Canis lupus familiaris: one gene and its partners. The protein of the gene in region 2 interacts with the protein of the main gene of each other region in a biochemical or structural test. Links are inferred from orthologs where the notes say so. Each region holds a gene or a part of one and is shown on either strand. Other genes may lie near its edges. The genes, in order: CTNNA1, JUP and CDH1.

Region 1 (5,235 bases), on a different chromosome or scaffold from region 2:
CTTCCTTCTAAGGCACCCGGCTGGCTCCCCTTGGAACTCCTGCAGTCACCTGGCCCCAGTGGCCCCCCACCCATCGTGCACACTGAGACCTTGGTCAAGAGTGTCCCCTACCAGGTAATGTGGGTTTCTCTTTGGTTATGGAATTTTTCTTTAATTTTTACTTAAGCTTAAAAAAAATATAGTTAGAAATGTGCTCCTGAATTCCAAAAGTATTTTTGACTAATTTAAACACAAGTATATCCTGGCCAAATGCCCCACCGGGCCAGGTTTAAAATCTGTCCATGTCCCCATGGAATCTAACACGGTGTTGTGTTGAGCAGATACATCAGTGAGGAGCAGGGCCTGATCTCAGGAGCCCTGGGGTGGAGGCGGCGGGCGGGCGCGGTGGCCCTAGATGCTGTCCATGGCTTTGAACTCGCTCAGGGCCTGCACCGGGTTCACATGCTTCTTCTGTGACGCCCGTTTGATCTTGGTCTGTGTCTCATCCTGCTTCTCCCTCTTCACCAAGGGCTTCTTCTCGGGGGCCTTCATCTTCCAGGACACAGCCGGTAGGTTGAGGGAAGCCATGCCCTGAGATTTCTGGTATTTGGTAGAGGCCACGTAGGATGCCTTCACGGTCTGCACCACTGCATTCATCAGGTTCTTGGCGGCCTGGATCAGGGACATGGCACTGTCCACCTGCGAGGGACAGACAGGGCAGTGAGGAAGGCGCGGGGCCCGTGGCCGCGGTCCTGGTCAGCTCTCCCCACAGCCCCTGTTCTTATCCGGGAAAACGGGATACACCTGGTCCAGATATTTAGGAGGGTGCAGCACCCAAGCAACGTAAGGCGCCATTACCTTGCCTCCCCTCCCTCCAGAGTCTACTTGCTCTTAAAACCTGGAGAAAGGTCTGTCTCTGAGTGACGGAGGTGCATTGGCGAGGGGGATCCTACACAGAAAGTAGTTGTTTGGAAGGAAACCCCTGCAGGGCCCAGTGGAACCCAGAGCCAGTGTGAGAGAACAGAACCACGTGAGTGCTCTGGGGGCCCAGCTATGTTATCTTTGTAATTTCTGAACAGGTTCAAGTCCCCTTTGAGGGAAGGACAACAGAGAAATGAGAATACTTCCTCCCAGCGAGAGGACCCTTGGGGTCTCTCCACAGCACACGTCCCTGACATCAGGGTAGGCAGGATGTCTACGCAGCAGAGATGCGAGCACACGCCCGCCAGGCACCCATGCTCGTGGCTCAAACTTACCCCAGAGACGACGAGCTCCCCACCCAGGTTCTGCACCTCGGCCTTGACCTTGCTGCAGATGTTGAGCTGGTGGCAGTAGAGTGCGATGCGCTGCAGATAGGCCAGCAGGTCCTGCTTGCAGGCGGAGTCCGGGCACTGCCAGGAGAGCAGCAGGGATCAGCACACACCCCAGGCCCAAGGTTCCCCCACCCTGGGCAGGGCTCTCCCTGCCGGAGCAAAGCACAAGTGCTCTGGACTCCAGGGTGACCTCCCTCAAGTGTATCCACTGCCGCCCTGTGAGGCACTTCATGCACCGAGTGTAGGAGGCCGGGAGAGCGGCCTGGAGTCCAGAGGCTAGGAAAGAGCTGCGGGCCTGGGGGGACCACGTGTTAGGTGATCATCTACCCAGACCGTGCTGGCAGCTGAGGCAGCACGGAGCAGGGGACAGGAGTGGCTATCGAGGCACGGTCTGTGGGGAGCTGGGCCGAGCTGGTGATGGAAGCGGGGAGAAGACTGGGTGGTGTCAAGATAAACACGGCAGCAGACGTGCCTGCTCCTGGACTGCAGAGAGCAGAGCCAAGAGTGGCTTCTACCCCTTGGGACCGATTAGTTCAGTATGTGAGGATGTGCAGGAAACAGGGAGACAACAATGCTGCAGCCCCCAGGAGGATGGCAGGATACACACACCTGCCCCATAGACATGCTCTCAACGTACGCTGGGCTGGGCTCCTAAGACTTGTCAAAGAGGAATTCAGAAATCCTCACACATCGATGTGGGTACCAACCCAGCAGGGTGATAAGCCAAGCACATGTCTGGAGATGAGAGGAGCGCCATGCCCCAAGGAAAACAGGACGACGGTCAGCACCTTGGGATGCACCTGGCAGCCCTGCAGCGACCCCCACTCACGTGGTCTGCGATGGTCCGGCCGAGCTTGTCCATCCTGGATCCTGCCTCCGCAATCTTCTTGGCGGCGCTGATCACATCGGACGTGTTCTTGAGTGGTCCTTTCCCTCTGACAAAAGAGAGCAAAGATCACTGTGTGTGGCTGACGGTGAAGGGGAAGAAGGGGGCCGGCCGCGGAGCACAGGGTGGGCCGGCACCCAGGGGCGGCGCAGCTCACCGGGTGAAGTCCGTCATTTCCATCATGATCATGCACATCTGCTTGGCCAGCACGATGATGTCATTGCCGCTGTCATCCCACTTGGACACCTCAGCATCCAGCTTGCTTTTTTCTTCCTGGAAGCTGGCCACCTGTTCGGCAATCTTTGCTTTTTGCTCCTGGGGAAGCTGAGCCATGATCGCCTGAAACCCGAAGCACAAAGAGCTCTTAGGTGAGGAGAGTATGAAGCCCTCACAGCACATCAGCTGATGCAACCTGTGGCAGAGGTGGGATGATCTTTAATGGGCTTCATTTTGCCTAAAGGTCCATTTCTCCTCACTTTGAGCACAAGTTCACAGCAGCCTGAATTTCCAACCCATTTTCAAAAACAAGTTTCCATGTGGAGGAGAACACAGTGCGAGGGACAGAGAACAAATATGGAGGCTTCCAGATCAGGCCTGTACAGGGACGGAAGCCGCTTAATACCCTGTGAGTTCGTCTGCCTGCTGCTGTGGGGGATAGGACACGATCCCAGGGGTGGTGCATGGGCCCCTCTCTGGTGGGCCCCACCTTAGCTCCCTGACATGGCACCTCTGAACCCTCTCACAGCGCCCACCCCAAGGCCCACAGACTCCAGGCCGTGAGCCCCCTGCCACAGCTTCCCCAAGTGCTCGTGATGGAGAGGGGCCCAAAGCAAGGCTGCATTTGCTGTTCAAAATGATTTCTGAGGACTGGAAAAGGCTCCATGGAAATATTTCTTGGCATGCTCCCAAAAACATAAATGCTATTGATTGAAGATTTAATGACTCAAATGAATGCAATGGCTCTGAATGATTTTCTTGAATGTACCACTGTTATTTTTTTTTAACCCATGAATAATTAAATAGCTCATACCATGCTATCACTGAGATGGGCAAAGATAGCCATCTTTTTTGAATGTCACAATCCTTTTAACAAACATGGCATTGACCCGCCACTGGGCTCTCCTGACGCAGGGCCCTGTCATCAGCCAACGCCCCCAGGGCACAGCTGAGGCCGAGGGCCTGCTCCTGCTCCCGCCCTGCTCCTGGCTGCCATGTGCCACCCCCTGGGGTGAGCTCTATCCCGGTGCCAGGGAGACAAAGTGGGAACGCTGTGATCGATCCCAGAAAAGAAAAAGCCAAGCTCCTGGAGGCACAGGGACATGTTCCTTACCCGGGCGCTCTGACCAGCTATCAGCTGGTCATCTTCTGTCTGGACACTCGTCCGACTTCTGACATCGAAGTCTTCTGTCTCAAAGTCAGAGTCATCCAGTTCCTCGGGAGTCTGCCAGCAATATGGAGAGCACGAATCAGAAACACCCTAGGCCCTTGGGTCCAAAGTACAAACACCCAGAACTCTGGGTCTTCACATGAGCCATGTTCCAAGCAGCTGGGGCCAATCAGGTTAACATCAGCCATGATTCACTCGAGACCCGCCTCACTGACACACACGTGAGGCGTCCCAGGCTAGGCCCCCATCAGGACTTCCCAGAGGCTCGAGGAGCTTCAGCTTCTACGAGGGTCAGGACTCACCTGCACCCTACACAAAAGTGAGGCTCATCCTGGTGGGAAACGTACTGTATTGAAAAGACATTTTATCCAACATTAAGCAGATTCTTAGAACCTTCCCATGTGATGGCAAGAAGAAAATGAATGAAGGAAGTAATATTAGGCTTTCCCTTAGGACAATGCTTTGAAGAGAAGAAATAGGCAATGGATTTTCATGGACTTTTTTCTGCTTTACTTTTATCAATGTGAAAAGAACGTGGCAGGTAAGGTCTGAGTATGTCTCCAAGGTCCCGTTTCCAGTTCTAGCTCTCTAGCTTTAATTATGAAATAAAAATTCTTATTTCAAAAAAAAAAAAAATTCTTATTTCATACAACTTCCAGCCTCTCATGATTAGTGGCTGACTTGAAACCTGACGTTGTCTCCTGGAAGTTACTAGTAATGGGCAGTGGGCGGAACAGCTGGGGTTGGCTACTGGCCTGGCGGACCGGCCTGTGACAGAAGGGCAATGAGGCACATCCCCTATCTGTACCAGGATCTAATCCAAGGCGGGGCCCCAGGGCTTGCTGCAGGGCTCCCGTGAGAGGATGTGTGAGGAACATCTGGGCTGCCCAAGACTAAGCTTGTCTCTCAGTGACGTGAGGTAAGGACAGGGGGTCACGCCAGGCACCAGCAAGCCCTGGGGACACATGAGTGCAAGACCCGGAGTCTCTCTGACTTGGCGGCCACACACGACCCCACCGCTGGCCACTTTGGATCCCAGATCCCTGGTCACAGATACCTGCAGAGGGGCTTTCCCAGAGACATGCTGTCTTGTGAGAACCTGCTCTTGTGCCAGCCCTGCTGGCCCCGTCAGAGACCCAAGAACTATTCTTGCCAAGAGACCAGGTACCTCCTGTTCCTTCCTTTCTGCTGAGCATCTGTGTACCAGGGACCATACTGGGCCCTGGAGGTGCAGCACCGCTACTCCACTGTCGGGCCCTGTGTTGCCCACACCACAGCTCACTAGAACCACCAGCACCTCTGTTCTTCAGAGAAGATGAGGAGAGTCCAGGAGGGGCCGGGGCTCCAGAGTCTGCAAGCATGTCCCCTCGTTGTATACGCAGTGTCTGCCCGCCCAACCCCCCAAGATGTCAACCTCAGCACCAGTGACTCCTCTTTATCTTAAGGTCCCTTTTATTCCATTTCTAAGTGTCTAAGAAAAGGCTCTGGAGAAACAGGGCTGCGTCCATTACCAGCGATGGCATGCCCAGGGACCCCTTCATGGCACTGGGACAGGGCGGCCCATGTGACCAATCATTCTACCAAGCCAGCTTGCTTCTCAGGTACAAGTACAAAGAGATGGAGAAAGCAGAGCAATTTCCTGCCCCCGTGCAGCCAGGGAACCTGGGGCC
Region 2 (5,235 bases):
CTCTGAAATGACACTCCTGAATCCCACCTCTACCACTTACTAGCTGTGATCAAGGGCCATTACGTCACCCCCCTGGGACCCTGTTTCTTCACCCAACCAACTGGCTCCCCTTTCCATCTCTAGTTGTTGAAAGGGGAAAGCAAGCCAATATCCATCAGGGCCTAAGCAGAGTCCAGCATGTGGCCGGGGGCCATTAAACAGCCTATTGATGGGGGGCAGGGGCCTCCTAGGAATGGTAGTCAGGTGGGAAGGTGGAACCAGGAGTCTTGTCCTAAAACTGCCATTTTTCCTTAAACTGTGTTTTTAGCTACCAGAGCCCTCAGGCCATCTCTTGGTACATTACTGCTCCTTGTTGCAGGGTCTGTGTCAAAATTACTCCCCTGGTATCATCTGAACCCCAGCTTAGGAATATCAGCCCCTTCCTCTGTTCCCCTTCCTGAGTCCTTAACAGCCATTAGAGCCCTAAGCTAAAGGGATGAGGAATTTCAGGGATTTCAGGGTATTTCCAGCCTTAGTCACAGTGGGGCAAGATGTAGAGGCCTCAGGCCTCCCACGGCTCCTAAAGTCAGAGTCCCAGACAGGAGACTGCCTGTGGCAAGAGGGGAGCATGAGGTGGCTGAAGAGGTGGACCCCAGCCCCCAAGGTCTCCCTCACCTGTTTGGTGGCCACATCCGAGAGGTTGCGCAAGGTCCAGAGACAGTTCTGTACAAGGCGGGGGCTGTTGCTTGTCAGGTGTTTGCCCAAGGCCTGCATCCCACCTGGGGCGAGAGATGGGAGCGTGTAAGGCAGGGGAGCATGGCTCACCAAGCCCAGCTGCCAGACAAGACCCCCACCCCGCCCCTCCAGGGCACAAGGGCTGTCCTCGCAGGCCATCCTCACCAGCCTCCACGATGGCAGGCTTATTGCTGGGACACACAGACAGCACCTTGAGCACACGGCTGGTGGTCCAGAGCAGCTTCTCATAGCTGTAGTTGCGCATGATCTGCACAAGGGCCTGGGGTCCTCCATTGGCCAAGATGATGAGCTGAGGGGGAGACAGTGGAGAATGAGTGTGAGATAGACAGGAAATATGACAAGGAACAAGGAAAGGGGAGGAGGTGACAGAGCTGTCGCTACCAAACTTCAGCTAAAACCTGAACAGCTTTTGTGACTACTAAAAAAGCCAAAATTTTGGGACACCTGGGTGGCTCAGCAGTTAAGCACCTCCCTTCAGCTCAGGGTGTGATCGTGGAGACCCAGGATCAAGTCCCACATCGGGCTCCCTGCATGGAGCCTGCTTCTCCCTCTGCCTGTGTCTCCGCCTCTGTCTCTCTCTGTCTCTCATGAATAAATAAATAAAATCTTAAAAAAAAAAAGCCAACATTTTTTTTAAGATTTATTTATTTTATTTATTTATGACAGACAGAGACAGAGAGAGAGAGACAGAGAGAGAGGCAGAGACACAGGAGGAGGGAGAAGCAGGCTCCATGCACCGGGAGCCCGATGTGGAACTCGATCCTGGGTCTCCAGGATCGCGCCCTGGGCCAAAGGCAGGTGCTAAACCGCTGAGCCACCCAGGGATCCCCAAAAGCCAAAATTTTTTTTTTAAGATTTTATTTATTTATTCATAGAGACAGAGAGGGAGAGAGAGAGAGGCAGAGACACAGGCAGAGGGAGAAGCAGGCATCATACTGAGAGCCTGACGTGGGACTCGATCCAGGGTCTCCAGGATCACGCCCTGGGCTGCAGGCGGCGCTAAACCGCTGCGCGCCACCAGGGCTGCCCAAAAGCCAAAATTTTTAAAAGGATGTCTGGGTGGCTCAGTCAGTTAAGCCACGGTCTCCGGCTCGGGTCATGACCCTGGGGTCCTGGGATCAAGCCCCACCTTGGGGTCCCTGCTTAATGGAGAGTCTGCTTCTTCCTCTGCCCCTCATCTCGCTGGTTCTCTCTCTCTCACTCTCAGATAAATAAATAAAATTTTTTAAAAGATAAAAGAAAAAAGGATAATAAACAATGCTGACAAGGATGAGGTGAAACTACTAACAGACACCACCAACAACACTGTAAGTAACACGATCCTTTTGGAAAGCATTTGGCAATCTGGGTACAAGCCCAGAAATATTAAAAACCCTTAGCCCCACTGATGAAAAAATTTCCCACTCTTTGGGAAAAGCTGTGTGTCCAAAAATGCTCATGACAGCATTGTTTATAAAGGTAGACAATTGAGAGCAATCTAAATGCCCTCCCTAAGAATAAAGTCTGGGGCCCCCACTTAATGAAATGCTATCTGCCATTGTAGAGGGTGATTTTGAGGGTATGGGAAAAAAATTAAAAATACATAGAAAACAGATCCAAAGTTGTACATTTGCCATGACTACAACCATGTACAGACATGCCCACAGGACGGGTCCACAGGAAGCACACGGAGATAGCAGTGGTTGCATAAGGATAGTGACTTTTTTCCTTTTCCTCAACCTCAGAATATTCAGTTATATGATGAAAGATGTACAACCATGTATACTCATATATTTAAACCAAAAGGGGTAAAGAGGCAGTGGTCCAAAGCTACAGCTGGATAGAAGGAGATACACTGGAAGGCCTTGGGGTGTGGTTGGGGGGGTGCACGGCAGCACAGCTCACCTTGCTCTCCTGGTTGCCATAAGCCAGGAGCTGCAGGCAGTCGGTGGTGATGGCCAGGAACTTGGGGTTGTTTTTGTTGAGCAGGGGCACCATCTTCTGCAGCCCATCTGCCAGGCGCACCGCCATCTTGGCGCCCTCCTGGTACAGCAGCAGGTTGTGCAGCGTGGTGATGGCGTAAAACAGGACTGACTCCACCGGGGAGCTGGGATGGTGGGCAGTGGCTTGATGTGAGTCGGGCCCCAAAGGTCTGGCATAAATGAGGGCTACCTCCCCCCAGGAAGCCTTCCCCATACCAACACCCCCATGGAAACAGCACTTTAGGGATCGAGTCCCACATCGGGCTCCCTGCATGGAGCCTGCTTCTCCCTCTGCCTGTGTCTCTGCCTCTCTCTCTCTGTGTCTCTCATGAATAAATAAATAAAATCTTAAAAAAAAAAGGGGGGGGGGGAACAGCACTTTACTAAAATCTCATGGGATCCCTGGGTGGCGCAGTGGTTTAGGGCCTGCCTTTAGCCCAGGGCGCGATCCTGGAGACCCGGGATCGAATCCCACATCGGGCTCCTGGTGCATGGAGCCTGCTTCTCCCTCTGCCTATGTCTCTGCCTCTCTCTCTCTCTCTCTCTGTGACTATCATAAATTTAAAAAAAAATAAAAAATAAAAAAATACTAAAATCTCATCGTCCCTTGAGCCCAGCCCCGCTCTTAGGCACAGATCACACAGCACACACCACTCCTCTCCCCACCAGGACCATGACTCCGCCTGCTTCTGGGCTTTTAGCCCAGGGCTGAGCGCATAGTCGGTACTAAGGAACTACCACATGGGAGGCCATGTGCTAGAAAGGTCCTGTGAGGGGGTCAGAGTATCTCCCACCTCAAGGAACTCACAGCCTGGCATGGATAGAAGGAGAAAGACCAATGAACCTTGCAAGGCTGGGAAAGATACAGGGGGCAAGGGGCTATCTCTGCTGTTCCCTCTGCCTGGGATACTCTTCCCTTCATCTACGCAGGCCAAACCCCACTCATCCATCAACCCTCAACTCATCATCCTGCTGTTAGAGTGCACAGCTTCCCGGAGCTCTGAGCAATCCTGGGCAGACCTCTCTCCAGCATATACTGTATCCTAGTAACTAACACGCCGGTCACATGCCTATTCCGCCTGCTAGGCTGTGAGTAGCTGAGCACCAGGACTGGGCATGGGTCTGCACCTGGCACACAGTAGGTCCTCAATACCTGATGTATGGAAGCCCAGGGAAGAGAGGGGGTAGGCCCAAGTGAAGGGAGTCCCCGGTATCCCCCAGTGGGTAGGGGTGGGTACCTGAGCATGCGGACCAGGGCAGGGATGCCGCCCGACTTGAAGATGGCAAGCAGCCCCTCACGGTGGTGGGAGAGGTTGTGCAGGATGCTGGTGGTGCAGCGGGCTGTGTCCAGGTCACTGGTGTTCTGCATAGTACGCACCACGGCTGCCACCAGCTGGGGCGAGCCCATCAGCGCCCGCCGTGACGCCTCTTTCTTGGACAGCTGGTTCACGATCATGGCTGCCTTGGTCACCACCACCTGAGGGGGACGGGGAGGGATGGGAAAAAGTGAGCAGAGGGGCCGGGCTGGCTGCCACCGTGAGATGGGGGGAGGAGGGCAAGTGACCCCCTCCACAAAGTTCAGAGGGACCCAGCTCAGACTCTCCCTGCTGATGGGGCCCTGCGTAGGGCCGGCCCCTGCGGACACCTGACCTCTCCCCTCTCTGCCCTGCCCCCACCCTGGCCAGGCCCCCCACGGACCGGGTCCTCGTCGTTGAGCAGTTTGGTGAGTTCAGGCAGGGCCCGGGTGGCCAGCTCGGCGTCGTCCTGGTAGTTGATGAGATGTACGATGGCTGACTTGAGCAGCTGGGACGGCTCGGCCAGCCGCTGCAGGTTGGTGGTCTGCCCTTCCACCTGGGTGGCCAGTAGCAGCGAGCTGTCTTCGCCTGTCACGCCAGGACACATGGCCTCCCGTACCCGCTTGGCTCTGGCTGTCGTGGACATTTGGTACTCCAGGTCACCTGGATGGGGGGGTGTCAACGGGGAGGGACTGAGTGGCAGGATGGGCAGGGGTGGGGGGGACACAGGGGGCAGGGCAGGCCTTGTAGACCGGGCTCTCTGGGCTGGCTCCCACCCCGACCAAAGCCCCAGCAGCACCACTTGTGATTCTGCCTCTAACCGGGGGAGGTCACCACCACCTCGTCATGTCAGCTGTAAAATGGGGCACCACCTGTTCTGTCCGTCACAGGGAATTTTTATAGGGAATTAAATGAGATAATAGTTGTAATTTGCTCTGAAAAGAAAGGATGTACTACACACATCACTACAAAAGTGTTAGTGAAGATTACTATCATGGGAACAGTTAAAAATTTTTGACCACTTACAAAGTGCTTAGCAGTGAATTAAACGTTTTTCTTATATTTTCTCATTTAATCTCATAATAACCCTAAAAGATAAATACTATTACTATCTCCATTTTACAGATGGGGAAACTGAAGCCCAGAGAGTTGTTTGGTTTTGTTGTTGTTGTTGTTTTCCTAGAAGCCCAAGCTGGGGTCTGAACTCAGACAGGCTGACTCCAGAGCCCAAACCCCAACCCTAT
Region 3 (4,982 bases), on a different chromosome or scaffold from region 2:
ACTCAACTGTAGGTAATTGTTCTGAGCACATTGAAAGTGGATTAGGCTAGGGGTGCCTGGGTGGCTCAGGTCATGATCCCAAAATCAAGCCCCACATCCTTCCCCTCTCTACCTGCCCCTCCCCACAACTTGTGCTTTCTCTCTCAAATAAAATCTTAAAAAAAAAAAAAAAAGTGGATTAGGTTATCATGTCTGGTGGATTAGGCATATTAAATGCATTTTTGAAATATTCTTTTTTTAATATTTTATTTATTTATATGAGAGAGAGAGAGAGAGAGAGAGAGAGAGGCAGAGACACAGGCAGAGGGAGAAGCAGGCTCCATGCAGGGAGCCTGATGTGGGACTCGATCCCAAAGGCAGGCACTAAACCGCTGAGCCACCTGGGCTGCCCTTGAAATATTCTTAACTTATGATGGTTTATTGGGATATAACCACATTGTAAGTCAAGTAAGATCTATATATATATATTTCACCCCCATTTAAAAATTACACACACACACACACACACACACACACACACACACACACAAACAATATTATACCCCTCCAACAAAGTCAAGTCACAGAACAGGTTTTCTTAGCAGCACTACTGACATCTTGAGCGTGGTGGTCCTTTGTTGTCGGATGTTTAGCAGCATCCCTGGCCTGGACTTGATGCCAGTAGCACCTCCTCAGTCGCAACAATCAAAGTATCTCCAGAAATTGCCCAATGTCCCCTGGGGAGAGGCTAGGGTCATTTTTGACGGTGGACCCCTGAACTACACCAATTTGGCTGACCCACTGAATACTGTCTGAAGCTCAACTTTTTTTGGTCCCTCAGTGTCACCCACAATTTTTCCAATAATAAGAGAATTTTAATGGTTTCTCCATATACCACATGGATAGTTATTTTTCAAATAAAGTGACCTTTTAAATGCAGTTTCCTGCATTCTGCCCACAATAAAAGGACACAAAGTTCTGGAGGAGTCATTTCAATATGAAGTTTCCTTCCCCATGTTTTGAATGAGCTCAACTATCACTGGTCTTGCCTAGAATTGTAGTATAATCATATAAAACAAGTGTTTGACAATGGTTTAACAAAATTCTTTAATAAAATTTATAAAAATGAATATTTAAGAATTTTCGCAGCTTAAATTGTTTTCCTTTTCCAGACCTAAAGAAAATACAAAATTATCCGTACCCACACACATATACACTCAAAACTACATTAACATTCTCTATACAGGACTAAATTAGAGTTTAAATTGCTGAAAAATCAAGACAATTCCAAGAAGTGATTGCAGGGATGATTTTTTTTTTCTTTGAAAAACAGCTGACAGACAGTAAAGCAATTTAAGATAAAATTATTTCCCATGGTTGTCAAAAGTTCCTTGAAGTTCACATTTCAATTTAAAAAAAATCCAAGTCAAAGCTCTCCCCACCTTCCCTTTGCCAAAACCCTTTAGGGTCATATTTTCTTCCTGCTCCTAAGGGGGGAAAAAGAATTTCCTAATATTGTCAGTTTTCTATGCACACTTAGAATTGGGGCACCTGAGTCCAGATCAGGCTGCATTTTCGGTAGACATTAACAAAAGCAGGCACCTGGGGATTCTTGGCCTCAGGTACAAACTGTGACCTAAGGATCGCGATAGGACACACTTGTCGGGATTCTTCCATTCTTCAGAATTTTCAGGACTAGAGGTAGAGCCACCTCAGTTATCCTCAGCATCAGTTTGCTAAAACGCCAGGCTCAATGACCCATCCCGCCTGCCACCTCCAAGTCCATTTTTCATGTTGCCCTTGGCTTTGACAATCCGCCTTCAATCTTTGGCTGCAGCACTGCAGGCACTACGCTAAACGTCAGAATAGATCACTCTTCTGTTTGAGTGATAAGTGAACATTAGAAGTTGAGTGGCACCTGAAAATTCACCACCTTTTCTGGTCAATGCTCCTTGTTCAGAACCAAAGTAGCCCAATAATGACGTCCACATGACAAACACACTTAATGCAGAACAAGTCAGTGGATGGATATGAATTTCAATTTATGTACTTAGGAAATAAAAAAGGAGAACCACTAAAGTCCTTACGAGTCCATAATACCCAGTCACACTACCATCAAACTAAGACCAAGTCTCTTATCCTGAAAGGGCCCAATAATTTCTGCAGCAGAGAACTCCTGTCTGAGGCAATGTAAGTTCAGAAGGAGTTAAGAGTGGTTATTAGAACACGGGACACCAGTGCAGTGATAGGAGAAAAAAGAACACAAATTAAAAATAATTACACATACACACACACACACACAAACACAATAGGGTAGTTTAGCCCTACCTTCCTTTAAAAAAATGAGACAAGTCAATAAGGCAATCTGCAAATTGCTAGCAGAACCTTCTGGAGGCTTTAGCTATTCTTTTGAAATATAAACATGTGGGGGGTCTTTTGGACAGCATCACCATTTAAAGAATGATGAAAGAAAGAAAAAAAAGCTTCAAAGAATAGGTCAAAATCGTTCTAACAAACACACAGATTAGATCTATAAAGTAGAAATCCTAACTATCCTAACTATATATCACTGTGCATTTTCTCTTCTCCAGAAATTCCTCTCAGATGAAGGGAGCTGAAAACAGTCACCTCCGCATTTTCTACCACATGGTATAAGGACTCATCTTCATTTGTCTCAAGTCCCCTAGTCGTCCTCGCCACCTCCATACATGTCCGCCAGCTTCTTGAAGCGATTGCCCCATTCATTCAGGTAGTCATAGTCCTGGTCTTGGTCTGACTCTGAGGAGTTCAAGGAGCTCAGACTAGCAGCTTCAGAACCGCTTCCTTCATAGTCAAACACGAGCAGAGAGTCATAAGGAGGAGCAGTAGGGTCAGTGTCCGCTGCCTTCAGGTTCTAAAGAAGAAAGAAGATAGTAGGATCCTTTAATGAAAGGAATCACACACCTGTCAGGCAAGATGCCTTCTCTAGGTGCCTCAAGCAGCAGCATGTAATGCACAATAACGCAACAACCATCCTAGAGAACACAGGGAGCAATCCGCACCAATAAGGTAAATTTATACAAACTGGCAAGGAGGATAAACAATATGTTGTTTGATGAAAAGAAAACATTATGGGTAAATACGCAGAATGTTTCCCCTAAACTAATGATAAATTATATGTAGGCAGGAGAGAAACAAGCCAGTCGGGATTGACAGAGGCTGAAAACAATGAGGATAGTCATACTGGTCCATACAGCATCGCCACCTGGAAAGGTCTGGAAAGATGAATGCCAAACTGTTAATGGTTAACTCTAGAGAATAGAGTTGGAGGCAGTAAGGAAGGATTGCATTTTTTTTCTTTATGTACATTTTACAAATTTATTATATATTTATTCATAATAAAATTATTATAACATTATTTTGTAAGTAATGTAATGACATTAATATTATAAGTTAAAAAAAAAAAAAAGCTACTATCAGATGTGACGATACACAAATGAATGTGAATGGAGGAAAGGACCTGAATTCAGATTTACCTAAGAGGGAGGTTTTTTGCTTTGTTTTGTTTTTTTAAAAGATTTTATTTATGTATTCATGAGAGACAGAGAGAGAGAGGGAGGCAGAGACACAGACAGAAGGAGAAGCAGGCTCCACGCAGGGAGTCCGATGTGGGACTTGATCCCGAGACTCCAGGACCACACCCTGGGCTGAAGGCAGGCGCTAAACTGCTGAGCCACCCAAGGATCCCCTAAGAGGAAGTTCTTTTTTTTTAAATCTATCTATCTATCTATCTATCTATCTATCTATCTATCTATCTATCTATTTATGATAGTCACACACACACACACACACACACACACACACACACACACACAGGCAGAGACACAGGCAGAGGGAGAAGCAGGCTCCATGCACTGGGAGCCCAACGTGGGACTCGATCCCGGGTCTCCAGGATCGCGCCCTGGGCCAAAGGCAGGCGCCAAACCGCTGCGCCACCCAGGGATCCCCTAAGAGGAAGGTTTTAACTGGACCTTTCTAATCCCAGCTTTCTAGAAGATCCAGTGGCTAAAATCAATGTGGCCTGGTCACTTCCAACACTGGTGTGCTTTGTGTAGTCCCTGGTGACAACTACCATAGGAAACTAAAGCAAAACCAGCCTCTACCAGGAAGACTCACTGAGAGCCACTGGACCATCCAGACAAGGCCTAAAAATCATTCAGTAACTGTGCAAGTGATCAGGGAACATTGTTTAAGGAAATAGATCCTGCTGGACTATTATCTTACTTGGTTCTTTGCTCATCTTGACCCCTAATTTGTCCTCATCTTACCCTAAGCTAATTAACTTAATGCCTTATTTCTCATTCTCCCTTGCAGATAAGGACAATCTTGTGACAGTTCTGGCCAGTAACATATGGGATGAATTCCCTACTTGCATTAACACTTTGCTAGAACAAAGATTCTTCTTCTTCTTCTTCTTCTTTTTTTTTAGAACAAAGATTCTTTGGCCTCTGCTCCGCCCTTCCTACTCCTTCTTGACTAGAATACAGACCCAAAGCCTGAAAGTGTAGCAGGCATCTTGTGATTATGTGGCAACAAGCATGGGAACAAGGATTCATGGGGTTAATCTACTCCTATCTGTTTAAAAGCTTTGAGAGTTTATAGCTGAATGTATTTCTGACATCTACAAATTGATGCCATTTTCCTGGGCCTTAGGTAGACCTGTGATACACACTTACTATCACTTCCCAACCAGCAGTGGGATGCAGGGGCAAGAAGACTCATTAGTGAAAACAAATTGGATCTACTTTGAATCTCTTTAGTTTCATTTCTAGTTCTACTAAATCCTTACAAGCAATTCTTGGTTTTGCCATATGGATACTGCAAATTCACTAGGAACAATTTGAAGTGCTTTTAGTTCTGAAATTCTGATGAGACTCAAACAAAAAATAGCATTCAGGGATCAGGCAAGGAGAAAACACGGTAAAGCAAAGAATCTAAACACTTTCTCCTCACTTTCAATACAA

The links.
Region 1: the proteins of JUP (region 2) and CTNNA1 form a complex in vitro, tested with the Homo sapiens proteins (2 studies listed by BioGRID). The link is inferred for Canis lupus familiaris from reciprocal best matches to the Homo sapiens genes JUP and CTNNA1.
Region 3: the proteins of JUP (region 2) and CDH1 form a complex in vitro, tested with the Homo sapiens proteins (2 studies listed by BioGRID). The link is inferred for Canis lupus familiaris from reciprocal best matches to the Homo sapiens genes JUP and CDH1.

What each region holds. Positions count from the first base shown.
Region 1 is NC_049232.1:26,503,643-26,508,877, reverse strand, and holds part of CTNNA1 (catenin alpha-1), read right to left. Parts: intron 3,620-5,235; coding exon 3,509-3,619; intron 2,518-3,508; coding exon 2,336-2,517; intron 2,228-2,335; coding exon 2,122-2,227; intron 1,371-2,121; coding exon 1,236-1,370; intron 679-1,235; coding exon 391-678; 3' UTR 1-390. UniProt on the Homo sapiens protein: Associates with the cytoplasmic domain of a variety of cadherins. The association of catenins to cadherins produces a complex which is linked to the actin filament network, and which seems to be of primary importance for cadherins cell-adhesion properties.
Region 2 is NC_049230.1:20,917,716-20,922,950, reverse strand, and holds part of JUP (junction plakoglobin), read right to left. Parts: intron 4,655-5,235; coding exon 4,395-4,654; intron 4,174-4,394; coding exon 3,935-4,173; intron 2,822-3,934; coding exon 2,620-2,821; intron 1,025-2,619; coding exon 880-1,024; intron 759-879; coding exon 655-758; intron 1-654. UniProt on the Homo sapiens protein: Common junctional plaque protein. The membrane-associated plaques are architectural elements in an important strategic position to influence the arrangement and function of both the cytoskeleton and the cells within the tissue.
Region 3 is NC_049226.1:81,340,804-81,345,785, forward strand, and holds the end of CDH1 (cadherin-1 precursor), read right to left. Parts: intron 2,873-4,982; coding exon 2,663-2,872; 3' UTR 1,062-2,662; downstream 1-1,061.